7 linked regions of the Cricetulus griseus genome follow. The protein of the gene in region 3 interacts with the protein of the main gene of each other region in a pairwise test. Links are inferred from orthologs where the notes say so. Each region holds a gene or a part of one and is shown on either strand. Other genes may lie near its edges. The genes, in order: Mos, Nup54, Krt15, Lnx1, Wac, Txlna and Amotl2.

Region 1 (2,711 bases), on a different chromosome or scaffold from region 3:
CCATGGCTCAGGATCATATTCACTATGGACTTTTCCAGATGTCCCTGCCTCTGACTATGTCTCCCTTTTATCTACAATAAACTTTCTCTTTCACCACACCTATTAGTAGTCATGTCATTTCCTTCTTTCCTTCTTTCCTTCTTTCTTTCCTCCCTTCCTCCCTCCCTCCCTCCCTCCTTTCCTTACTCTCCCCTCCCTTTCTCTTCTGTTTTCCACTCAGTAACAAATCCAACTAACAGCAATATTGTGGAGATGATACAGTCGGTCAGGAGCCCAGAAAGGGGACAGAGAACTATAAAGGGGGTCAGGTTTGTTACCAGCAGTGATGCTCATGAAATCTGTAGCCTCCTTATTCTCAGGAAAAAAAAAAAAAAAACCCTTCAGATTGAAGTTTTCAGTAACTTTATTTTCTAAAATTATGTCCTAGGGGTATGTTTTCTTCCACACCACCCTTACTTCTTTAAAAATAATCAGAAACAAAAAGCACAGGCTGGATGGAGTCAGCCCAATGCTGCTCGCAAAGCGTTCAGGTCCCTCAAGAGCAGTTCTGCACCCGGCCTCTGCAGGGCGCGGGCCTCCCAGCAGCTCCGGAGGATGCTCTGCAACTTCCGCCCCGTCGGTGAGGAGGTGAACACTGCCCCCGCCAGGGACGGTCGCAGATTGTAGGCCACCACAGCGTACTGCACCTGCTGAGGCTCGCCTGAGTATGGCACCTCCCTGGTGGTCATCTGCCAGAGGGTGATGCCGAAAGAGTAGATGTCGGCTTTGCGCGTGGCGGTCTCTCCTTTCAGGAGCTCCGGAGCTTGGTGCGTGTAGGTGCCACCTATGTGGTGAGGGGGCGTCTGGCTGCACCACAGATCTTGCAGCTTTTGGGAGCAGCCGAAATCACTGATCTTACAGACGTCCTGCTCATTGATCAAAATGTTCGCTGGCTTCAGGTCCAAGTGCAAAATGCTTTGTGAGTGGAGGAAAAGCAGGCCATTAACAATATCTAGGGAATACTTAAGGCACTTCCCCAAACTCAGTTGTTCTCGGCTGCAGCTTAGAGGCCCTGGAGAGCGGGTGGCACCATAGATGACTTGGTGTAGAGTCACATTGCCCCCAAACTCCATGATTATGGTACCCAGGCTGTTAGAGCCCTTGGGCGTATGCGTGCTGGCAGCCACAACCCGGACTATGTTGTCATGGCGCAGTCTTGCAATGTTGAGTTCAGCCCAGAAACTCCGCTGGGATGCACGTAGGTTCTTGGTGCACTTGTTCACTTGCTTTATGGCCACAGGAACACCGTGGTAAGTGGCTTTGTACACCGAACCAAACCCTCCAGAACCCAGCCTATGCAGCAGGCATACCTGTTCCCAGTCGATGGAACACCAGGCCAGCCGGCGTGGCAGCCGCGGGGCCCGAGGAGGAGTGGCTCCCAGGAAGAGCTTCCCGGCCTTCCCCGGAGCCACCAAGGGGCTACTGCAGGGTCGCAAGTCCAACGACGGTGACAACTCACCAGGGAGGTAGCGACATAGGGCTAGAGGCGATGGCATCACACCTTCAGGTAGGAAAGGCACCAGGGGCACTAGGTAGAAATGACTAGGAACAACCCTGGGGAGTCTGGAAGCATGGTTGAAGATTCCTGATTTCACCCTAGCCCCTTTCCCTCCTTCCTTGTATTCTCAAAACGAGCTACATCTGTGCTATCACTCAGCAAGATGGGGGTGGGGTGCAGACGAAGCATGGCTAAAGTAAATCCTTAGTAAAACGACCTCTCACGGGTTAAATAGCACTGGCCTGCCTCAGGGCTCACCTCTCCTTTAAACTATTTCTTTAATCATAATACAACGAAAACGATTTTCAAGTAGCATCTGATGAGCATTAATCGGTCTTTAGACTGAAGAAGGAAAAAAAGCACAGTGAACTTGTGCACTTTTCAGGCTATAATGATTGTTAGTGCTAGTCCTCCTCAGCTGCGTTAAATCACTCCAAGCAGCTATTGGATGCAAGAGTTGCAATACAAATAGCAGGCATTTGTCGAACCACTTGCCAAGATTATTAGGTGCAACCTTCATAAGAATTAAAAATTGTAACTTTAATGTCATTAATCAAAATAGAATCAGTGATACAAAACATGCACACCTCCTAAGTTCATCAGAAGGGGGATTCTGATGGATTTGATTTCTACAGCAAGAAGACTTCTTAGCAACACCCCGACTTCCTACCAGTCCTTCCTTTCCAGGCAAGTCAGGTCACCCAGATTCTAGACCACAGCCAACAAGTTACTGGAACTTAACACAGACTTGGAGGGAGAGAAAAAGGAACAAAGTGAGTGTGATGGCCATAGCTGTAAATAAGCACAGGAAAACCAGGAGGAACAGACATGGCACAGAATCACTGGAATCCTTCTATAGTACAGAAAAGCAGGCACTAAACATAAATTCAGGGCCTGGCCACCAAACCAGACTCATCATTTCCAATTTTCATAATACAGTGCTCATTTTCATGCCATATCTTTGGGGGAAAAGAAGAGAGCAACAATCTTACTCTGTCATTTAAACAGTCCCTGAAAGTGCTCAGGAGCTACACTTTTCAGCACTTGGTAAAGCTTTTTTTTTTTTTTTTTCTTTTTTGCTTACATGTGATAAGTGACCACTTTTTATGTGACAGCTATGTGCTTCTGATTTTAGAACTACAGGTTTTGAGAAGGCAAGTTAATAAAGAGAGCC
Region 2 (3,625 bases), on a different chromosome or scaffold from region 3:
TGAAATTAAGACAGAAGAAAAAAAAAATGGGAGAGTGGTGTTATGTTTGTATGTTCCACACCCAGCATCAACAACTACAAAATTGTTGCAGCCAAACTGGAAAGTTTTAGTCTCTCGTCTTTACAGTGTAACCTCTGCTTCAGTAGGATTCTAGACATGGCGCTTTCCCATCACCACACGTTAGTACAACAGCAAGATTCACAGTGTTCTCTCTCATAACATCCCCCAATGTAAGCCAAAGCACCACACAGGAGTGAAGCATAGTTACAGCATTTGGAGAGGTGTCAACAAGCTGCGGCCCAGGTCTGTCCTGCAGTCTGAAGTTGTATTCAAAAACGGTGGTCTATAGAAGAATCAGATTATGTAGTATTCAATCACTGTTTTCAGATGCTAATTTATGAGGGACCTCTTCATCCTAGATGATTCCATTTGTTATATTCTAGTCAAAACATGTCAATACTGATAAGTCCTTAAATAAAACACCAGAGGAAAGAATTACATAAAATTGCAAATTAACAATTTATTTTATAGATTTCATGTTTAGAAATAAAAAGTTAAGAAAAAAGTTTGCCAAAACAGTGATTTTGCTAAATCCTAATTGGTTAGGCATGTTCTGTCAGTTCCAAATAAGTAAAATAATATAAAAATATATCTTCACGTCTTCATAGAACAAAAGGAAAACCACACAAATCATTAAATACTTTAGGATTTTTTTTACTCTCCACTGATGACCTCACAGATATAAAAGCTGAAATACATTCACACTCTGAAGCATAGTCAACAGCCACATAATTACAGTTTATTTTGTTAGGATTTTGTGCTATGGAAAAAGAATGGAGAATAACCATTAAACACTGTCTATGCTTAATGCTGCTGTAAAATGTACAGCAGTGCATATACTTTGGATAATTGTGTAGTTTTTTCTTAAGTATACTTTTAGGTATAAATTTTCAGATTCTCTTTGAAGAGCTTTGTGGTGTCCATTTCAGATTTAATGTCCAGTAGTTTCTCAGGAACCTCAAACCCGCCAATGAGGAAAGGACTTTTTCCCATCCACGTGGTCATCGTAAGGCCTGAAGTAGCAAGATGACTTTATGAACCTCTGACAGAGTCTGTAAATGGTCAGCAAAAGACACCGCCTCTAGTATGGATGGTTTCATTCAATCCATGTTCTACCAGTTTTATATCTTCTAGGTCATCTTTTATGATGCTAATCAGGTGGCTGAGGCCTTCCTGTTGTTGTTTCAAATGCTAGAATGAATTTGGAAGAAAATAAAACGTGAGTGTACTGTTCTGTTAAACTGAAAGCTATCCATTAAGTACTTACAATACAGCACTCATTGACTAAACACAACAAGCATGCACAGTGAGACAACTATCATCAGTACAAGACACTCTAAAACCAGGGAAACCCAGACAAGCATTCATCGACAATATCTTTAAAATGTGTTTTCTGTATTTTTAGGGCCTTGAACCAATGCTCCTGCCTCCCAAATGCTGTCTGTGACTGTGGGTATGCACTATCACAGTTTCCATGGTGCTGGGGATTGGAGCCAGGGCTCCAGACACAGTAGGCAAGCACTCTACTAACTGAGCTACATCCCTGATCCCAGCTTCTCAATTTGATATACATACAGATCATTCTAGATAAAATGCAGCGAGAGGATTTGGAGGAAGCCTGAGATTTACCTCCCCGCTGACCTGAGTACTGCTATTGCCTACCCTTTGACACTTCTACTATCTAAATAATATCGGGGGGGGGGGGTAGGGGGAGGTTGATACATTTGGCTCTTTACTGTGCCATAACATGTGGACCATTTTATGTGTACAGGGATGTTGTGTATGTTCACATCAAAGTTGGTCATGGGTTACTCTGCTTCACAGAGGGGGAATCATACATTTGTCTTTGTATGACCACATATTTCAAGGTCTATCCATGTTGTGGCATGTGTCAGAATTTCCTCCTCTTTAGGAGTAATACTCCACTATATGTGTATGTACACAGGTATATAAAAGTTTGTGCAGATCCCTGCTTTCAACTTCCTGGGGTACATATATCCAGAAATAGAACTGGCTGGGCGTGGTGGTAATACCTTGAATCTAAGCACTCAAGTGGCAGAGGCAGACAGATCCCTTAGTTAAGACCAACCAGGGTTACATACTGAGACCTTGTCTGTCAAAAACAAACAGATGGAGAACTGCCAGATGAGATGTTAATTCTACTTTTTATTTAGCTTTTTGTTTGTTTGTTTGAGACAGGGTTTCTCTGTAGCCCTAGCTGTCCTGGAACTAGCTATCTAGACCAAGCTGGCCTCGAATTCATAGAGCTCCACCTGTCTCCGTCTCCCAAGTACTGGGATTAAATGCTGGTGCCACTACTGATGTTTTTTTTTTATATTTCATGTTACTTAAAGGTGCCAATTTGAGGAGAAATTGAGGTTACAATTTCTCCACATTCTAATGGGTGAGTAACTCTGTTGTTGAACAGCAGCCACCCTGACAGATATGTAGTTGTAAGCTAACACTCACCTGCTTGATCTCCCGTAACAGGTCTGCATCTATGTAATACCTTTCTTCAGATTTCACAGCTCCAAAGTGATTCTGCATCCGGATCTGGGACATCAGTTCATTTAGTCGACCCTAAAAATGAGTTAGAAACAAGCGCTAACAATCACAGCAACTCCTAAAGACGGTGGCTGTTTTTGATAAGATAGCCTTGAAACCATCAGTTAAAACTCCCGGGTCTTGAAGCACTAATGCAAGCCAAAAGTACCATGACTGAGAATTTCTTTTAGAAAGTTTAATTAGTGGAAACAAATGCTTAAGACACACAACATTACAGGTTTCTGTGTGATGACTACTTATCCCTATTCAGCTCTACCTCAAACAGCCTCGAGCCAGATAGGCTTCCAAGTGCTTACTTTGAACTGAGTAGGTGCATTTAGTTCCCCCTGGATAGTGTCCAGCTGAACCCGCAGTTGCTCTTCGTCAGCCTGGATGGCGTAGCCGCTCTTCCTTTGAATCTCCTGTTTGATTAGGACCTGTAAAAGACAAGATCAGTACCAGCCAGTAGAATACTTTTTACGAACAATTATGGACTTGCTGGCAAAAACTAGCTGAGAATTAATATGTTGGGGGGGGGGGGTGCTTTGAAATCCTAGTACTTGGGAGGCTAAGACATGAGGACAAGTCTGAGGCTGGCCTGAGGAACAAGGAGAGTTCTAGGACAAGTCTAGGCTGCATAGCTGAGACCCTGCCTCAAATAAACAGTAAAAACCAAAAACATTAAAAAAGGGGGGCAAAAAATCCAAATCCTTTATATTTTTACTCTGAAGCGCTTTTATATCCAATTAGATTTCCTTTCTTTCTTTCTTTTTTTAGATTTTATTTATTATGTATACAACATTCTGCTTCCATGTATATCTGCACACCAGAAGAGGGCACCACATCTCATAACAGATGGTTGTGATCCACCATGTGGTTGCTGGGAATTGAACTCAGGACCTCTGGAAGAGCAGTCGGTGCTCTTAACCTCTGAGCCATCTCTCCAGCCCCCCCCCTTTTTTTTTCAAGACAGGGTTTCTCTGTATTGCTTTGGAGGTTGTTTTGGAACTCTCTCTGTAGA
Region 3 (4,215 bases):
TATATTCCTGGTTCTGAGCTTCCATCTCACAGCGGAGCTCGCTCAGCTGGCTCTCCAGGCTGCTAATAAGCCCCTGGATCTGCTGCAGCTGTGTGGCATAGCGGCACTCCACCTCTGCCAGAGAGTTCTCCAGCCCGGCTTTCTGGTGGGGTGACAGATGCATAAACCCATTGGGCTAGAAGGCAACCCACTGGAGGGAGAAGAGCAGGAAGGGTGGTAAGGACTGCCTGAGGTGACAGGAATGTGTGAGGTGAGGCTTTACTGGCCATGTGTCACCCAGTAGGGAGAGAGTGACCGTACCATGCTGAGCTGGGACTGCAGCTCGATCTCCAGCCCCTGCATGGTGCGCCTCAGGTCTGTGATCTCCGTCTTGCTGGACTGGATCATTTCTGTGTTGGAAGCTACCTCCTTGTTCAGCTCTTCCGTCTGCAAGTCACACATGAGAAACATGAGCCTCATGGGCCTCCTCAGAGGCCTCTGGAGTGGGAAGGAGGGAGAGAGCAGAGCTGGGGGTGTCAGGCCCACCTTACTGAAGAACCAGGCCTCTGCATCCCGACGGTTTTTCTCCGCAATGGCCTCATATTGTTCCCTCATCTCGGCCAGCATGCGGGTCAAGTCCACCCCAGGTGCAGCGTCCATCTCCACATTGACCTGGCCCGCCAGCTGACTGCTGAACTCTTTCATCTCCTGCAAGGGGTGGGAGTGACAACCATTTAGAGACAAGGCTATAAAGCAGACAAAGAATCGAGAGTCCTGAGGGCTAACTCTGACTGTCTCTAACTCACAATGTGACCTTAGCACATCACACCACCCTATCTCTATTCCCCATTGGAACACATGGACCCCTCAGTTCTGAGGATCTCTCTTGCTCTGGGTCCTAAGAAACAAGGACCTTGAGATAATAAGCCCATGAAGCAAACCAATTCTGCAGTTCACACATGGCTTGGCCTTGGGTCCAGATTACCAGAGATTAGTGCCCCTTCTCTTCCATGGGGCCCCCCAGGTACATTTCTTAATCCCCAAGCCCTCAGAGGACTGTGACAAAAGACTGGCTGTCCTGGGCTTCTTCCTACCACCCTGTCTTGCTGTTACCTCCTCGTGATTCTTCTTCAGGTAGGCCAGCTCCTCATTCAAGTGCTCAATCTGCATCTCCAGGTCGGTCCTGGCCAGGGTCAGCTCGTCTAGCACCCTGCGCAGCCCGTTGATGTCGGCCTCCACACTCTGGCGCAGGGCCAGCTCGTTCTCATACCTGGGGAGGGGAGAGGAGCCAAAGTCAGGAAAGGTGAGGGGCCCAGGTTCTGAGTCATAGAGGAGGAAGGCTAGGTAGAGGGGGTGAAATGGACAGGGGTGGAGAAATGGGAACACACTTGAGCCTGAAGTCATCCGCTGCCAGCCTGGCATTGTCAATCTCCAAGATGACACGCGAGTTGTCAATGGTGGCCGCCAGTATCTGCAGGAGACAGAGTTGTACCTTAGGGCTGCTGCACGACCCCCTTCGCCAACTACTGCCCAGCTTCTCTTCCTGTGTGCATCAGTTGTGCTGGCCCATGCTCCCTTCCCTGTGGCATCTTCAAGGAATGGAAAACTAACGAGGCAGTATTGCCTGGGATTGCCTGGGGGCATGGCTAGTCAAGACCGTGCTGCAATGGATACAGTTGGCTCTGTCAGGTCAGGACTCTCGGGAGACACACTATACCAGCCTACTTGGGCACAGCTCACAGTGGCTGCCTCCTGCGTGCCTTGACAGAGCCCTTCATCTCCAAAACATTGCAGTCATTGGGAACTTGGACAGCAGCTAAGGAACGTGTTTGCCACTAAGGAAAACAGATCCAGTTAGTTAAAAGGGAAAGTGAGGGGGTGGCACAGCCTCCACTGAGTTCCCTGGTCTCCTAAGATCTAGCAATGATCAACAATAAAGACATCCTTGAGGCCTGAAGTAAACAGCCCTGGCATTTAGGACTCTTGAGGTTGTGCCTGAACAGCACACGGGTCACAAAGTTAAAGCAATCAGTTGCAAAAATCCCTGAAAGTTTTTGTGAGGCAGGGAGAAGGAGCTGCTCTCTTTTGTTGCCCTCATTTGCAATCCTGTGTATCCAAATCAGATTCCCAAGACCACTCCCTCCCCTCCCCCAGCACTGCCAAGTGGAACACGTGTGTTCCCACATGTGCCTGGGAAGCAGGTGCATCCCAGCCTTGCCAGGTTACACAGCAGGGAAGGACTCTCTTAGTCAACAGCAATGTTGCTGTTGCATATGTGTACAGGGCACCTACTGCCTGTTTCCCTCTGTCTGACATATATATGAGGACTTACTTTGTCCCGGATCTCTTCCATGGTCTTAAAGTAATGGCTGTAGTCTCGCTCCGGACTGGCTGGGCTCTGCTTCTGGTACCAGTCTCGGATTTTCACCTCCAGCTCCGTGTTAGCCTGCTCCAGGGCACGTACTTTGTCCAGGTAGGAGGCCAGGCGGTCATTGAGGTTCTGCATGGTGATCTTCTCATTGCCAGAGAGGAGACCTCCATCGCCACCACCAAAGTCACCAAAGCCACCACCAAAACCCCCACCAAAGGCTCCACCAAAACCGCTACCAGCACCACCACCAAAACCACAACTCATACCGCCCCCATATCCCCCTCCTGCCCCCGAGGAGACGAACCTAGCAGAAGAAGCAGAGATGCTTCGGCTCCCACCTCCCCCGTAGAGACTCCCTCCACCAAAGCCGCCTCCACCAGCACGGAGGGAACCCCCTCGGGTAGAGCCACCTCCAAAGGTGGAAGAAGTTTGCAAGAATGTGGTGGCCATGGTCAGGCAGCCTGAGCCTTCGTGTCCTTTTCAAGCAGGAGGGACTCTAGCAGGAGCTTCTGAGCTGGGCTGAAACCAGGCTGCAGTGCTGTCGCCCCTAGCCTGGGATTCCTTATATACTGTTTCAAGGGGGTGGGGGCCTTGCCTCCTCCCCCTGAGTGGAGCCAACTCCTCTGCCTTCCAGACAAATACAGCTGCCTGCACACCTCCACAGGGCTCGCTTGTGGTGAGTTTTTCTTTTCTTTTTTTTTTTTCTTAATGCAACAAGAGAGATGATTCAGAATTAATGGGGTTTTGCTCTAGGCCATGGTTTTAACACTTGGATTACAGGTTCATTTCTCACTCCAGGAAGGAGAAGAGAGCCACAAGAGCAAACCCTCAGCATAGCACCCAAGTTCCCTCATGTCCCATCCCGTTAGAGCAGCCAGGCCAGCTCTGCCTCCCACCCCAGCCCACTGCTGGCATGTGAGCCTCACCCCAGGTAGAAAGCTTCCTGCTTTCAGTTTCTCCCACCACTGCTCTGTACTACCTACTCAAACGCCCTATACATAGCCTTCGGGACATGGAAGTCCCCGGGAATGAGAACACAGGTGACCACAGTGCAGGCTAATAGGGTCTCAAGTCAACTTCCAAACGAGTTGACCAAAAAAGCCGGTGCCTGTCCCTCTCTCCCATCCCTGATACCTGGGCATGCTCTCTCCTCTCACAGCCCTCCCACCACCCCAATTCCAGAAGTCCCTCCTACCTCTTCAGTTCCCCCCCCAGCCCAGGGTCCTGGCTAGTTCACAAAAGCCCAGAAGGCTCAGGCTGACAGGAGTCTGATTGATGGTCCTGTCACCAGCCAACTGCACATGTCACTGAACCTCTGCTTGCTCCCAAGACGCGTTGGGGCAAACCTCTGCAGATAAGACCCAGGCGAGTTCCAGAAAGTCCCCCGCCTTCTTCAGCAAGAGACATGTCGCTGCTTAGCAGGGGCCAGATTAACCCCCATTTGCCTTGTCAGCTGCTGCCAGCTGGGGAGGGGCTGAGCTAGAGGCTCTGCTCTGCGTGCCTAAGTACAGGGAGGAAGGCGGAGGCAGGAAGGGGGGCTGGCAAGCAGGTGGAACACATCAGAGCTCAGAGGCCAAGGAATCAGTCACTGCAATACTGAGGCCAAAAAGGACAGGGTCTTCTGCCACCAGCTCTAACAGCCCTATTTCTCTAAGACAATGGCACTGTGGGCAGTGCCACCCAGACTGGAGAGAATCCACAGGAGGGCTTCTAATGGAGAGCTACAATACGAGAAAGTGAATAGGGCTCCAGCGTTCCTTGGGCCTGTGTTTAAACCCCATTTCTATGAATGACTCCTGTGAAGATCTGTACTCGTCAGTTTTCAAGGCTCAGCCTCTTTGTGTATAGGACACTCACTTTATGGG
Region 4 (3,500 bases), on a different chromosome or scaffold from region 3:
CACCTAACCTGCCACCTGGCTTCACAGATGTACAGTTTGACCCATCCCTGGAGGCAGTGGACATTGGTGGTGCCCTGACTATCGTGATTCCCAAAATCAATTCTTAGGTTTCTTTGTAAGTTTTAAAAAGCTTTGTACCATATGAGCTCACAGGCCTCCATTGTGTTTGAGTGAGTACATTGCTATCTAAGCCATGGGCAGCCAAGCCCACAAGCTTTCATTCACAGATGGTCTATGGCTGCCTTTATGCTACAACAGCAGTGAGTGGTTGCCAAGGCCCCATACTCTCTAAGCACAAGCTCGCCAGCCTTTTGCAGAAAAGATCAACCTCTGACATAGTCTTTCCCTGAAAAAAATACTCAAGACGTTGGTAATGCTGGTGACCTCTGCTGAGTGACTTGAAGGTTCTGGAAAGGATGGATACTGACTTCCTGCTCCCTCTGCTCTGGTACCCTCTGACCTCCTCACCATGCCATTAAATATTGCAGGGAGGAGGAGGAAAGGAAGGATAGGAAGAGGCTCTGAGGTTCTGGAAGTCCCTATCTTCTTGTGTTGCCATCATATCACATTTCCTTTTACTCTTGGAGGGAATGAGTGCAGTTCAGACATTCCAGCAGGAGCAGAGAATTGCTGCCAATGCCAGGTGGCTCATGGGAAAAGTAAGGCGCCATGGGCTTGATGTTCTCCTTGCACATGTGAACAGTGAGGAGAATGGCAAAGTAGCTTTCAAACAAAAGGTACAAATGGGCTTGGGATTATAGTTCCAAAATCTCTTTTAAAGAAAAATTTAGGGCTGGAGATAAGACTTAACGGTTAATAGCACTGACTGATCTTTCAGAGGACCCAGGTTCAATTCCCAGCACCTACATGACATCTCATCACTGTCTTTAATCCCAGTTCCAGCAGACATGACACCCATGGCAAAACACCAATTCACATAGTATGTGTGTATTAATTTACTCAACATAATAGTCTCCTACTTAGGCTCAGTTGTAAAGTGTTTAAATTGCCTCAATGCTCAGTGTTCCACTTTCTAAGGACTTTTAAAGACTTACTGATTTTAAAAGTAATGAATCAACTAGTGGAGACTCAAATACAACGGGATCAAATTGTATGTGAAGCTACTAAGTAAGAGCTATCTCTACCTTCAAGAAAAAGTTTCAAAACCAAATACCCCACCTGCTTCCACTCTTTCATCCTACTCCAGTACATCCATCTTCAGTGACACCATTCTTAACATCTAAGCTACACCTTTACATCTAAAGGCCAGTAAAGTTTGCTCTGGTCCAGGGAAGCAAACATCAAATTTTTCTATCCTTTGAATGATCACAATTCATGTACATAGCCACTTTGTGGGGTTCTGTCCAAATCCTCATCTCAAGTCAGCGGGTCAGGTCATTTTATAGTTCATTGTAAGGCTCCAGTTGTACCTCAGTAAAATGACAACCCAGCTGCTTCCTAAAGAACTTTCCAGGAGAGTCACAGAAGAGAGATGTTCTGCGAAGAATCCTCAACTACCAGACACTTAACCTTGTTCTGCTCTACTTCTATATGTGTAGTCAGAGCCTCTAGAAACCTGAGTGAGGTTGCAGCTAGTACAGCTCCCAGTCATCTCCATGCAAGGATGAAAATGACTTGAGCAGAGCTCAGCTTGTGAGTGTAGACACAGGCTGAGTTTTTATCAGTCAGCTACACTCCCTGCTTTACAAGCCACCTTATAACTCTGCAAACGAGGAAAGCATCTAGAAGGTGCTCCATAGATTTTCACACACTCCCTAAGATATCTATTCGGACTTTCATTTGCCTACAGAAGATAGAATTTGTTCAAACAGCCCCACAAACAAGACTGGGTCATATTAGTAAGATGCTCGTGCCCATGAATCAGCCCAAGACGGTGAAAGAGTGGTTTAAGAAACATAATCTGTAGGGGTGTTAAATCAGGACTCACTGTGGTAATTCCAGCCACATGACCCAGGATGGGGACCAGTCACCAGGCGGGGTCACATTGTGGTTGGAGTCCAGGGCTGCTGGGCTGCAGTCTTCCTGGAGCTCCTGTTCCTTGACTTCCAAGGCTTTGAGTACCACTGAGGAGGATGTGCTCTTCAATATGGCAACGGCCTCTGTTCGGCTGACCTCTGTGAGCTCAATCCCGTTCACATTCAATAAAATGTCACCTGAGGCCAGAGAAGCAGAAGCATCCTCAGTGAGTGCAAATGGGATTCTGCTCCATGTGTGACAGGACAGAGGCTGAATGGGCATGTGGACAGAGTGAGGATCAGTATGTCTCTTGAACTCATAGTGACACAAGACTGGGTCTCAATTAGCACATAAGTAGAGCATGTGGGAATGTCTTGTTGGGAGTCTCTACACATTACTTACCAATGTTCACCTGTTCCCTTATATAAGCTAGTTTTGTTTGTTACTTAGCCAAAGACAACCTACAATTTCGCTCTTTTAATTTCCTGTTTTCTTTAGCACACAGTGAGAATGATTGACTAAGTCCTCCCATGCCTACACAGAGCCTGGTGTATGGGAGGCTACCAACATACGGAGACCAAAACAGGAGTTAGTGTCTGGCTCGGGAGACCAGAGCAGATCAAGAATAGGCCTGGACCTGAGCTTTCATGGAGATGGAAATCAGGTACCATTTGTAGTCACCGACTCTCTGTGCTGCACAGAGCCAGCAGTAGCTAAGTGCCCACTTTATGCAAAAATACTCCTGTATGTCACTTCTCTTCGCCCCTCATCATTCTTCACTCAGGTGCTTGCCGAATAGCAAGAGATATTAAAAGGTACCTTCCTCTCCTTGCTTTCTAATTCATTTATCTCTTGGTTCTTTTGAGGAGGTGTGTGCCTCTTATACATCATCTTTTTCATACAGAATAATTGTAGACAGGAGGAAAATGACAAAGGGTGGCCACAAAGCTTGCTGACTAGAAAAGAATGCTGTACCATGCCACCCCCAACTTCTAGATCAGCAGGCAGAGTGACTGTACTTGAGAAATTTTATTTTGTCTTAAATCTGAGCTCTTTAAAAGCACAATTCCTCTACCTAGGCAACCTCTTCATATGCTTGTACAGTGTTATTAACAGTGTTATTAACACATCCTTGCAGAGGTAAACTGCATACCTCCCTTCATGTAGAGAAGCCCAGAACAGGAGTGGATAGCAGAGGTCTACTTGCCAATGAGCAAGTCCCTCCGATGATATTTAATTATACCACTGAATCGGCATCTATCAACTAATTGAGTCCACAAAATGACACAATTCATAAATCAGTTTCATTACTGGCAAAGAACCAGTTAGAATGTGTGGAACTGGATTATGCCTTAGAAGTAACTTGGCTCATAGGTTCATTGATTGTCCATCCTGGAAAATCTAGGGACTCTAGCTTTCCCAGCAAAGCTGCCTCACACCCACTCACATGCACTAAGAGGGGTGAGCCTGGACTACAGCTGCAGACATGCTCATCCTAGTCAAAGAGGCACAACCATCACGGC
Region 5 (3,500 bases), on a different chromosome or scaffold from region 3:
TCCCAATCTTGGTTTTTTTCATCTGTCAACAGAATTTTATTAAATGTCTAATACAGTGAAATATACCAACTTATAAAGAGGTAAACAAGCACTTTTGGTATATTCCATGCTTACATTATAAGCAATTATTTTGAGTATTCTTTTTACAAGGTTGTTTCTGTTAAACTTTTAAAAATGCCACCAAAAATGTAGAAGTTAAGCATACTTTGAAACTATGCAAACAATTTAAGTTGGCCAAATTGAAATTGATTACAAAAAATACTTTAGCACATTGACAAGCTTATATTCAACAATTATTTCTCTCTTTTCCTAAATCAATCTCTCGTTTTTTAAAAAATTCATCTATTTATTTATTTGTTCATTTGTTTATTTTTTTGGAGACTATCCTGGTCTCGATCTCAGAGATCTCCTTTTTTATGAAGATATTTAGTACCCTTAAAGATATTTTAAAACAAGAGACAGGATGTTTGGGTTGGTCCACTTTAGCCAGTTAATGTTCATTTTATGTCAGCAACAAAAGGCCATCACTACCTAAACAAGTCTAGGGCTCCGTCATATTTTACTTAGTCTGGGGATTCCATAAAACAGGATAAGGAATTTTAGACTAAGAATTGTTAACCTGCATATTAATAGCTATCTATGAACCAGATTGTTAGCTATGTGATTTAGATGTGCTTACAGATTGCATGAAATCTTTGAGCAGCTCTGCTTCCATAGCTGCTCTGTGTTAGCAAAATACGCAGGAACACCTTTAAATTACTAAATGAAAAACTTCCTAATTAATTTTTTTAAACATGTGCTTCCTTGACCAGAATAAAGTACAAGAACTCACATCTATTGCTTTTTTTGTGATATCACAACTCTAAAAAGGGCTTTACAACTAGAAGGGATATTAGAGCAGTTAAAAAAGGTCATTGGGTTCTACTTGATAAAAACATGTTTGTATTTCTGATATATCTAATGTTTGTCTATTATTTGTTTGTATAAGACAAGCTAACCAAGACATGTTCACAGTCACCTCAACAGGTACAGATAAAACATTAGGACACTGTTTCACACCAACACTGTTTCCTGCAAAACTGCTGGGGTTCATGTTTTCTCACACTTCTGATCCTCAAGCAAACACAAGCTGCTGTTAATGAAGAACAAGCTCCATTAATTACGCCCGTTGTGAGAACTTTCAATTAGAAACACAACGCATACACTCTTCCCTTATTTCAAGTACATTTAAAAACAATAGCCAATGCAGGTGTTTTTCCAATGCTAAGACATTTGTTACGACTATTTCAGTTGTCCCCTCCCACCACCTTGTACAACAAACCACAAATGTCTTACTGTTTGTCAAGGCCCAAGAACAGAGCATCACTGAAGGGCAGAAAACCAAAGATCCTGCTCATACATAATTTAATACATCACACTATGCAGGGATTTGGATTTATGGTAAGCTTGTCACCCTGTGCCTCTCATAGTGTCTCATGCTAGAGCAAACTCATTACTTGACCTCTGTGACTGTAGGCTGCTGGCACTGAAGTCACACAGTGGGAAAACAAAACAAAACAAAACAAAAATAGCACACTACCACAGACCAACACATCAACATGATGTGAATCAGCAATTTCTAATATAGATGTAATTGGGATTCTTTATGGAGTCTCTTATAATTCCGAGATTGAAAACCCTATCAAGTTTGAGTTATGAATGCCTTATGCAAGGGGACTTTTGAAGATGCCTGTGGTGTCTACCAACTCCAAGAAGCTCTTACTACAACTTTAACTTTTTAACATGCTGAGGATATTATAATAAGCTATATGAATGCAGTTTGAGTTGTAATATTTCCTTCCAGTTGTCAGATCTGAGATCTAATAGAAGGTCTGATTCAATTTATTTTCTGCCTCATATGGAAAATCATGCTTTAAAATGTCTTTAAGAATAAGTGTCCGAAACTATTAATAGCCACAAAACCTGAAAAATATTTTATCTAAACAATAATGCACTGTGCCAGATGAATTTGACATGTTATTAAAACCACTACTAAGCAGTATGAACTAAATAGTTGGATTTAGTGTCAAAGACCAAAAACAAAATGTTGAGTGCTGAGAATTATTAATTAAAAGAAAAACCCAAACCATTAATTTTAGACCTACATCTACCTAGTAACACTCTAAAAGACTAAAAATTTATTATTAAGAGTCCTATTTGAGCAGAAGGAAAAAATATTTTACAACCTACAGTTCTAGTAGTAACAGCATACCTTTTCTCTCTGTTTTCTGTGCAGGGACAGAAGCTGTGGGTGTAGGCAGTTTTGATAAAGTAGATGCTCCATTAGCATCAAATGATTTCTTTGGCTGGTGATCAGATTGAAGCGTAAATGGACTGGAAGGAACAGTGCTTGGGGTAGCGGTTGGATGAACCACTGGTTTGATGGGGTGCTGTACTGGCGTAGAGCTACTGTGAGTCTCTGCTCTTGGCAGTCTGTAGTCTTTGTCATTGTGTCTGCTTGTTTGAGACAAAATATTCTGTGGGAGCAAACTACTGGCATCGCTGGAATGCTTGTCTTCCACTGTAGTTCACAGTTCGCAAAAGAGATGTTGGAATGACAGAAGGGGAAGAAAAACAGATGCTGTTAGAATCCTGTGTCATGAACATCAGCTAGTTGAGCAACATAACTGTAATTATGTTCCTTTTCATAAAACTGCAAGCCCAGTTAGTGTCTGCAGTTTTAACAATGATATTAATTATCAATACAGCAAGAGTTTTAACAACTATAAATAATCATCTATACTCAACTTGTTTAATGTATTCTTTGAAATTAAATTGTATTTTAAAAAATTCTAAAAATAGTTATAACATTTTACTCAAAAAAATGCTTCCAAAAGTAAAAAGGCAAATGTCTATTTCTTTAAAAATTTGGATCACAGATTCAAATAATTAACAGAATTGCCCAGTGGTTCAATTACAAAAGAACACTGGCTTCATTAATTTCAGTTTTTTGAATACTAAAGCTGCTAGCTAATGTGGGCTCTAAAGTGTTTTAGTCTAGGGCTTTCAATGATATAAGATGGTTTAATATACTCAACTGTTCATCCCATACATAACACTAATGAGGGTAAAATAATATTTCACATTCACATGCTATTCTTAAAAGAGAAGTCCAGCACATGTAAGCATAATTAGAAAAATGTGCTTATCACCAGCAATTACATCAGAAGCACAGGAAATGATTCAAACTCTGCCAACAATTTAAATTCTGGTATTGTGCATTTACAAATAAAAAAGGAGGACATTTTTAACTCATGTGGACAAAGATCATTTGTTTAAAAAAAAAAAAAAACAAACTGTAATGTCCTAAAGAAAGACCCAAAACAAGAAATACCCTAAGAATAAAAGGAAGTGACGTTATCTCGACAGTTGTATAAAGGATGCTCACTGTTGAGTATGTTTTTTCCTAAACCACAGTTCTTCTAACTCTTAAGATCAAGAACAGACTCTCAAGTTCTAAG
Region 6 (3,960 bases), on a different chromosome or scaffold from region 3:
TAAATGAGATCTGGTGCCCTCTTCTGATATGCAGGCAAATATGCAGACAGAATACTGTATATGTAATAAGTAAATAAATTTAAAAATAAAGAAAAAAGAAAAGAAAGCAAGGAACTCAGCCGGGCATTGGTGGCGCACGCCTTTAATCCCAGCACTCGGGAGGCAGAAGCAGGTGGATCTCTGTGAGTTCGAGGCCAGCTTGGTCTCCCGAGCGAGTGCCAGGATAGGCTCCAAAGCTACACAGAGAAACCCTGGGGGGGGTGGAGGGGGGGAAGGCAGGGAACTAAACAGGTAGAAGTTAATTTTTTGGATAAAGTAGACCCTCTCTTCATTCTCAAGAGGTTCATGGTTTACCTGGTTAATGTTGACATTTGAGATCTTTACCTTGGTGTAGCCCAATTTTGTTGCTTTCTAAATAGGGAAACTAAGACCCAGGAGTGGAGCATGAACATGTCCACAGGAAAAGAGCAGGTTGCCTTCACTTGCTTCCAAGGACAAGAGGCCTTGCCCAGGTGAGCAATCTGAACAGCTCAATGCTGTTACTCCACAGTCATGGCTTTGACTAAACTGGGGGATGTTCTGTTTTGAGAAGCAGATTCCTTTGAGTTCTGACAGAGCAGGCTAGCTCATGAAATGACAGGTCTTAACTCCCTCCCCTCACCAGTAGCTGCCCTCTCACCCAGACCCTTGGCTTTCTTCTTTTCTTGTGGCCTTCGGTGGTCTCGGTCTCCAACCTCATCACTTGCTCGGACCTCTTCTGAGCCTGGCTCCCCCTTGGAGGTTTCCTTCTCGCCATTGATGACTGGAATCCCTGGTTCAGGCTCCCCATTCCTTGCTGCATAGGTTCGGGACTTCTCTGCATCTTCCGGCTCAGTAGGCTCACCCTGTGCTCCCTCCTCGCCTGGGCCTCCCTGATTGTTGTCTACACAGTATGTACTCAGAATGTCTTCCAGCTGCCGGCTCAGCTCCTCAGACACATCACACAGGGGCCCAGACTTGGCTGCTTTAGCTTGAGCCCCTACAGCAACAAGATTAGGACACAGAATGAAAATAAGATGGTTACATCCCTGGCTTGAACTTTCTTTTTCTTTAACCCTAGACAAATACACTAGTTTGGGATAAATGTTGTTTTATTTGGTTGAGACACGATCTCTCTACAGAGCCCTGACTGTCCCGGAACTATGTAGACCAGGCTGCCCTCAAAGTCAGAGAGCTACCTGCCTCTGCCTCCCAAGAGCTAGGACTAAAAGAGAGGGCCACTACGCCGAGCCTCAGTTTAATTTTTTCAAACCTTAAGTTTACTTTGTTATAAAATGATACAATTATTATCACCCAAACATACTTCTTATGACCATAAAAGACAATTATGGCTGGGAAGTAATAGTGCTAGCCTTTGATCCCAGCACTTGGGAAGCAGAGGCAGGTGGATCTCTGTGAGTTCAAGTCCAGCCTGGTCTACAGAGTTCCAGGGCAGCCAGGGCTACACAGAGAAACCCTGTCTCAAAAACACAAAACCAAACAACCAAACAAAAAAGACAACTATGTAGATAAAGCACCACACCAGGGTTGGGTGGCATGTAGTAGAGACTCCACCTCTAATTCCTTTTTTTCCTACTCAAAACGCATTTTTGGTTATTTTTATAGTTCCAGAAATGTCTCAAGTATGAAGGACAATTACCCCCCCCCCACACACTGGCAAGTGTTTTCTGGGAACATGACTTTGTTTGTGGGGTGCCTCAGTTGTCATTTAATTTAAACCAGTCAGAGCATGCTCCCAAGGTTCCATTCCAGGGCTAAGGGAGGGAAGCTTCATCACCTGCCTGGGAAACACGAGACCCACACAGAATGGGTATTGTTTCATTCCATAGTTCCTCCTTCCTGGGTAAACACTGGCCTCAGCACCGAGGCCAGTCCCAGAAACTCCTCCCTCTGCCCACTGGAAAAGCAGAGCAGGCACACACCCTCGGTCTTCCCAGGAGCCTGGTTTGTGGAACCTTCAGCCTCCGCCGCAGGAGCTGTCTGTCTGGGCCGTCCCTGGGCTCCCTCTGGTGCCGCTTCCCGTTGCCCGGGGCTGCTCTTCGGGTTGGAGTGTTTGGCAGGCCCATTCTTTTTGTCTTGGTTCTTCATTGTGATCTGCAAAGGCAGAAAACGGGTAGATCCTTTGAAGACGACACAGTTGCTATTTTCAAGACTTCAAAAAATTTCACAACCTAGATCAGAAATCCCAACGCCAGGCGCTCCAAGCTTCAAACAAACTGGCCGGCCTTGGCGGAGACTCGAGGGTCCCTGCAGGGAGGGTGTCGGAGGAGCTGGCCCTGAGGAGAGTGAAGAAGAGGCCTCCTTTCTCCCGAAAGCCACTTCCCAGCAGCACCACTCCGCTCCCTCTCGGAACGCGAGCGCGGGATTGGCTCCCCGCCGCACGATGACGTGGCGGGACGCTCCAGCCCCCACCGGCCCCCGGCCCGGCCCCACGTGGGACCCCCGGGCGCGCGCGCCCGCCCGCCCGCCAGCCCGCGCGGAAGCCACCCACACCCCGCGCGCCCTCTAGCCCCACGGACGCATGCGCAAGGCGGCGACATCGCCACAGACCCCCGCACGGAATTAGTTATTCCTCTGCAGCCAACGCAAGCTGGGCCACAGACCCTCAGAAGAGCTCGTCCCACCTACCGCCAACAGACGTACCTCACCACGGACGTCCGATGGCGTCCCCCGCTCTGGCCGGGCACCGGAAACCCGGGTAACCGCTGCCAGCAGGACCGCCCGCTCCTGCCGCAGCCAATGAAGAGCTAACGCTGGCGCGGAGCTTGCTGGGAAAGACGAGGCCAAGGTGGCTTTGGAGTCGTGAGCGGGAACGAACTACGAGTCCCTTCATGCATTGCGGCGGGGCACAATTCCCGAGATGCCTCCCTTTTTAGGGTCTCTACCCGCTGCAGGTCTGAAATTCTGCAGTACAGTCTAGAGATTCCCGTCAGTATCCTTTCGAGTGCAGAAGCTGTGATTGGCGCTTGGCTGTTTGTTTCATACGCTTCTCCATTGATCCCTGTGGACGTGTATGACTGTTTCTAGGACCTCTGAGGACTCGAAGAGGGATAGAAGGCTGAGCTGGGAATTAGGAGACCTTTGTTCCACTCCTAAACCAGTAATTTGTCATGTGCCTGGCATTCTATCCCCCCCCCCATTCCAACAGAGGGGTTTTGTTTTTGTTTTGTTTTTGGAGACAGGGTTTCTCTGTGTAGCTTTGGAGCCTATCCTGGCACATCCTGGAGACCAGGCTGGCTTCGAACTCTCCTGCCTCTGCCTCCCAAGTGCTGGGATTAAAGACGTGCGCCACCAAAGCCCGGCGTCACTGTCTTCTCTTATTCTTTTTTTTTTTTTAAGATTTTATTTATTTATTATGTATACAACATTCTGCTTCCATGTATATCTACACATGAGAAGAGGGCACCAGATCTCATAGCAGATGGTTGTGAGCCACCATGTGGGTGCTGGGAATTGAACTCAGCACCTTTGGAAGAGCTCTTAACCTCTGAGCTATCTCTCTAGCCCCTGTCTTCTCTTCTTGTATCTAATAGCTTGGCCCTCATAATTACTCGGAGAAAGTACAGGATACTTTGTGATCTAGGAAATATAGGACAGTATGGAAAAGGCGAGATGGCTTTTTTAATTGCTTGCTGTCTGTTGGAGACAATGTTTCCTTATGTGTAGCCTTGGCTGACCTGGAGCTCCCTATGAGGATCAAACTGGTCTTGAACTAAAGACAAAGGCGACCATGCCCAGCTAAAGGTTATATAATCTAAGGCTGCATCAATATTGAGTGGTAATAGCAGATTCAAAGCCAGAAGCCTGACACCAGCACCCATCTTAACCACTTTCTTCCCAGAAGAAATAATCGCCGTCACAGGCTTTCTCTGAGGCAGTGTACTGGACACCTCTGTCATCACCAGCTTGGCAGTAGCTCTC
Region 7 (3,500 bases), on a different chromosome or scaffold from region 3:
CTGTGGCTAAGGTCTTAGGGATCAGCTCAAGCAACCCTGGGCATCCTAAATAAAGTATCTTTAAAAATGCCCTCTTAACCTTTCCAAATAACACAAGGGTTTTTTGTTTGTTTGTTTGTTTTTTTTTTTTTTTTTTTGTTTTGTTTTTTCGAGACAGGTTTTCTCTGTGTAGCTTTGGAGCCTATCCTGGCACTCGCTCTGTAGACCAGGCTGGCCTTGGACTCAGAGATCCGCCTGCCTCTGCCTCCCGAATGCTGGTATTAAAGGTGTGTGCCAACAACACCCAGCCTAACACACACACAAGGTTATTTTGGGATGGAATCCACACAGCTTTCCAGGCCTAGAAGCTGAACTCTGTTCAAATCAGCTAAAACAACTCACTTGAGTTTTCTCCTCTTTGTTTTCAGGGTCCTGCTAGGCTACCCACAGCTATGAAATTCTTTCCTGAGACCCCTGCTAAGATTAGAGCAGAGAGGCAGGTGCTGAGCCTGAGCTCAGCCTGACAAACTGGGGATTTCAGTCCCAGCTGCTGGGCCTTCAACAATGAGCACCTTGGCTGCCCAGTGTCATGTCACCTTTGTCTGACAAGTCACAAGAGTCCCTGGCCACAAAGGTGAGGCCTGACAGAATGGCCGGCAGACAACAAACTCCACAAAGGTTTAGCCCCTGGTCTCTGCTGGCGGGCACTTCCAAACAAGGGGCCACCTCTGGATTAGCTCAGCAGCAGAGCCCAGGGCAGTGTTCTACTGGCCCCTGGCATAGGTGTAACACATCCTTAGGTGTTGATTATCAAGAGAAGAACAAAGAGTGAGGGATGGGTATTCAGAGAGCCTTCCTGAGGCCATGCTACTCAAAGTGTCATGGCTGCTTGAGTTGTACTGAGAATTTTCTAAATCCTAGAAGACTCCTCAAAGTTGGATTTCGTTTCTGGGTCTATCACACCCCCCTCCCCCTCCCCCTTCTCAGGGCTCCCCTGTTCTTTACTCCTCATCTGGTCAGGAAATGCCTGCATGTGCTTTTTCCTACTGTCAGCTCCAAGAAGAGCAGGTTAGAGCACTGTCACTGGACTGACTAGACTCTCTTGTTGCTAAGTGTGATCACTCCCAGGGTGGCCTCAGAAAACTGTCGTGTGTTCCCCATCCCCCCACCCCCCCCAGACACAAAGACACAACTGGCATTCTTGGAGAATGATTTAGCTCCAAGAAGAATGGTGACTCCTTTCCTTTTACACTTGCTTTCCCTGCTCCTGGTTCTGCCATTTTCCTCTTCCCCTCTCCCCAGCTTTTTGTTCTCCTGCAAACAGTCCACTTCCTTGCCTGGATATTATCTTTTCCTGGCAGGGTTCAATAGGGCTGGTCTGAAAGAAGAACCTCTTCCTGAACTGCTCTGAGAAGGCAGATAAGGTGGGTGTCTAGGGGTGTGGAGGCAGAGTAAACCCATAAGGCTCCATCCCTGGTCCCTCCAGACAGGGGTCACCACTCTTTTCCAGAGTAAAGAATAACAGCTGGAGGGAGATGAGTGACTAAATGAAAACCCAGCAGGTGTGAAGTGAGCCAGACTTTGACCTTGAACCCAGAGGGTGTGCAAATTCCAGGTGGGGCCTCCTGGAACCCTACTTCAGCCCGCCTCCAAGGGGGCTGGATGGAGCATGGTGCCTGTTCTATGGAAAATGTGAAGGACCTTGGCGGGCTGTGCCACATGTGCCTTTAATCCCAGCACCTGGGAGACAGAGGCAGGCAGAACTGTTCGAGGCCAGCCTGGTCTACACAGAGAACTCTAGGATAGCCAGAGGTACACAGAGAAACCCTGTCTCAAAAACAATTAAAAAAAGAAAGGAAGGAAGCAAGAAAGGAAGGAAGGAAGGAGGAAAGAAGAAGATGCAGCTAAGATGACTAAGGTAGACTCTCATTTCTAGGAACCTGCACTCCTGCAATGATCTGGCTTCCTGCTTGCATTTACTGGGCTCCCAGTTTGCCACCCCGGCTCTTGTGACCCATTCTCTAAGGCTGGTATTGTTATGCAACTCTCTTTTAAAAGTCCATTATATGCCACCTGCAAGACTTCACATTCAGTCAAGCCAAGACCAGCAACATCCTGAGTCTTCACAAAAAATTAACTTAAAAAAAAAAGGCTCACCTAGGTCCAGAATCCTCAAGGTGACAAGTATAAGGAAAAACATAATAAGTAAATAGCTGGTAGATAAGGCAGCTGTGACAGAGGTGGCCTCTCTAGCAACACCTCCCAATGACAACAACAAAAAAGTCCATTATTTTTTTTCTTTAAAAACCCTCAGGAAGTCCCACCTTTGGCCTACTTAACTTGGAAACAGCTTGACATTGTCTTTTGTTAGTTCTTTCTAAAAAATTTCACCTTTAAACCCCATTCCCATCCCCTGGGAACCCTCCTTACTTGAATGCTATAGACAATGCTACCTATATTTTGAGTTAAAGCAATGATGTCAGTTTCTTTTTGTTTCAGAGGTCTCACTATGTCACCCAGGTCTGGCAGTCACCTTGGGATCCTCCTACCTCACCCAAGTGTGCTACCACAACTGGCAGCTAACATCACATCAACTAAGTAAAGTCAGCTAGTTAAGTCCCTCTAACCTCCAGCTCTCCCTTCTCAAGAGCAGACAGCCCCAGGAGCTGGTGTGGGTGCAGTGGGGCTGGGATCATGCCAGCTAGGATCCAAGGTATATGACCTTGGGGTTCTCCTGGGAGACTGGACTAGAAGAAATCCAGGGTTGGGTAGTCACCTGACTTCCGCATGCTGGAAGTGTGGGCTGCTTCGAGGACGGTATCTTGGGTCAGTGACAGCCGCAGTCTCATGAGCCAGTACAGCGTGTGGGTACTGAGGTGGGGGTCCACGGGGCTCTGGGCCCTCAGATGGCAGTCCTCGGGGTTGAGCACCCTGCTGGTTACGGGCCAGCTGAGGGAAGCTGTGTGAAGAGCTCATGTGGTTGGGGACTCGAGCACCATTTCTTTCCAGGGACAACTGCAGAAGTCGTTCACTCAAGGAGCGTACATGGCCATGCCTCAGCTCCCGCAGGGCCTCATCCTGTCGTCGGCTGCCTCCTGATGCCCCTCTAGGATCTCGGTCCCCAACATGTGGCCGGGGTCCTGCCTGCTGCGCCGCGTAGTACTGTGAGTGGGCTTTGGCCTCCTCATAGGTGGGCAGCTCTTCTCCCTTGCTGGGCTGTGGGCACAGCCGGTACAGCCTGTTCTCTGCCAGGTGGGTCTCTCCACCTTGATGCTCCTGGCCCTGGGGCTCCTGCCTGGTGGCCTGCTGTAGCACCTGAGTGTCCTCAGGCGGTCCGATTTCCAGGGAGGCCTGGGGGCTCCCTGTGCCCCCAGCTCCAGCCCCACCCCTCAGGGCCTGTTGCTGGATGGCCAGTAGTGTGCGGGTCTCTGTCAGATTGCCATAGCGGAGCTGCTCCTGAATGAGACGGTGCAGGACTGTCCCTGAGGAGTCTTCCAGTGTCCTCATGCTTCTCTGGCTTG

What was found.
Region 1: the proteins of Krt15 (region 3) and Mos interact in a two-hybrid assay, tested with the Homo sapiens proteins (2 studies listed by BioGRID and IntAct). The two-hybrid records come from large-scale screens. The link is inferred for Cricetulus griseus from reciprocal best matches to the Homo sapiens genes KRT15 and MOS.
Region 2: the proteins of Krt15 (region 3) and Nup54 interact in binary tests that used the Homo sapiens proteins (3 or more experiments, as listed by UniProt). The two-hybrid records come from large-scale screens. The link is inferred for Cricetulus griseus from reciprocal best matches to the Homo sapiens genes KRT15 and NUP54.
Region 4: the proteins of Krt15 (region 3) and Lnx1 interact in a two-hybrid assay, tested with the Homo sapiens proteins (3 studies listed by BioGRID and IntAct). The link is inferred for Cricetulus griseus from reciprocal best matches to the Homo sapiens genes KRT15 and LNX1.
Region 5: the proteins of Krt15 (region 3) and Wac interact in a two-hybrid assay, tested with the Homo sapiens proteins (4 studies listed by BioGRID and IntAct). The two-hybrid records come from large-scale screens. The link is inferred for Cricetulus griseus from reciprocal best matches to the Homo sapiens genes KRT15 and WAC.
Region 6: the proteins of Krt15 (region 3) and Txlna interact in binary tests that used the Homo sapiens proteins (3 or more experiments, as listed by UniProt). The two-hybrid records come from large-scale screens. The link is inferred for Cricetulus griseus from reciprocal best matches to the Homo sapiens genes KRT15 and TXLNA.
Region 7: the proteins of Krt15 (region 3) and Amotl2 interact in binary tests that used the Homo sapiens proteins (3 or more experiments, as listed by UniProt). The two-hybrid records come from large-scale screens. The link is inferred for Cricetulus griseus from reciprocal best matches to the Homo sapiens genes KRT15 and AMOTL2.

What each region holds. Positions count from the first base shown.
Region 1 is NC_048595.1:156,239,046-156,241,756, reverse strand, and holds Mos (proto-oncogene serine/threonine-protein kinase mos), read right to left. Parts: upstream 1,536-2,711; coding exon 501-1,535; downstream 1-500.
Region 2 is NW_023276807.1:157,219,161-157,222,785, forward strand, and holds the end of Nup54 (nucleoporin p54), read right to left. Parts: intron 3,042-3,625; coding exon 2,922-3,041; intron 2,641-2,921; coding exon 2,530-2,640; intron 1,252-2,529; coding exon 1,123-1,251; 3' UTR 501-1,122; downstream 1-500. UniProt on the Homo sapiens protein: Component of the nuclear pore complex, a complex required for the trafficking across the nuclear membrane.
Region 3 is NC_048600.1:112,452,083-112,456,297, reverse strand, and holds the start of Krt15 (keratin, type I cytoskeletal 15), read right to left. Parts: upstream 2,801-4,215; coding exon 2,312-2,800; intron 1,451-2,311; coding exon 1,368-1,450; intron 1,250-1,367; coding exon 1,093-1,249; intron 688-1,092; coding exon 526-687; intron 427-525; coding exon 301-426; intron 143-300; coding exon 1-142.
Region 4 is NW_023276807.1:141,117,660-141,121,159, forward strand, and holds part of Lnx1 (E3 ubiquitin-protein ligase LNX), read right to left. Parts: intron 2,175-3,500; coding exon 1,949-2,174; intron 1-1,948.
Region 5 is NC_048596.1:206,962,511-206,966,010, forward strand, and holds part of Wac (WW domain-containing adapter protein with coiled-coil), read right to left. Parts: intron 2,561-3,500; coding exon 2,252-2,560; intron 1,542-2,251; exon of another isoform or gene 1,422-1,541; intron 1-1,421.
Region 6 is NC_048595.1:23,393,122-23,397,081, reverse strand, and holds the start of Txlna (alpha-taxilin), read right to left. Parts: upstream 2,801-3,960; 5' UTR 2,683-2,800; exon of another isoform or gene 2,668-2,682; intron 2,134-2,667; 5' UTR 2,128-2,133; coding exon 1,962-2,127; intron 1,019-1,961; coding exon 680-1,018; intron 1-679. UniProt on the Homo sapiens protein: May be involved in intracellular vesicle traffic and potentially in calcium-dependent exocytosis in neuroendocrine cells.
Region 7 is NC_048597.1:210,962,578-210,966,077, reverse strand, and holds part of Amotl2 (angiomotin-like protein 2), read right to left. Parts: coding exon 2,756-3,500; intron 1-2,755. UniProt on the Homo sapiens protein: Regulates the translocation of phosphorylated SRC to peripheral cell-matrix adhesion sites. Required for proper architecture of actin filaments.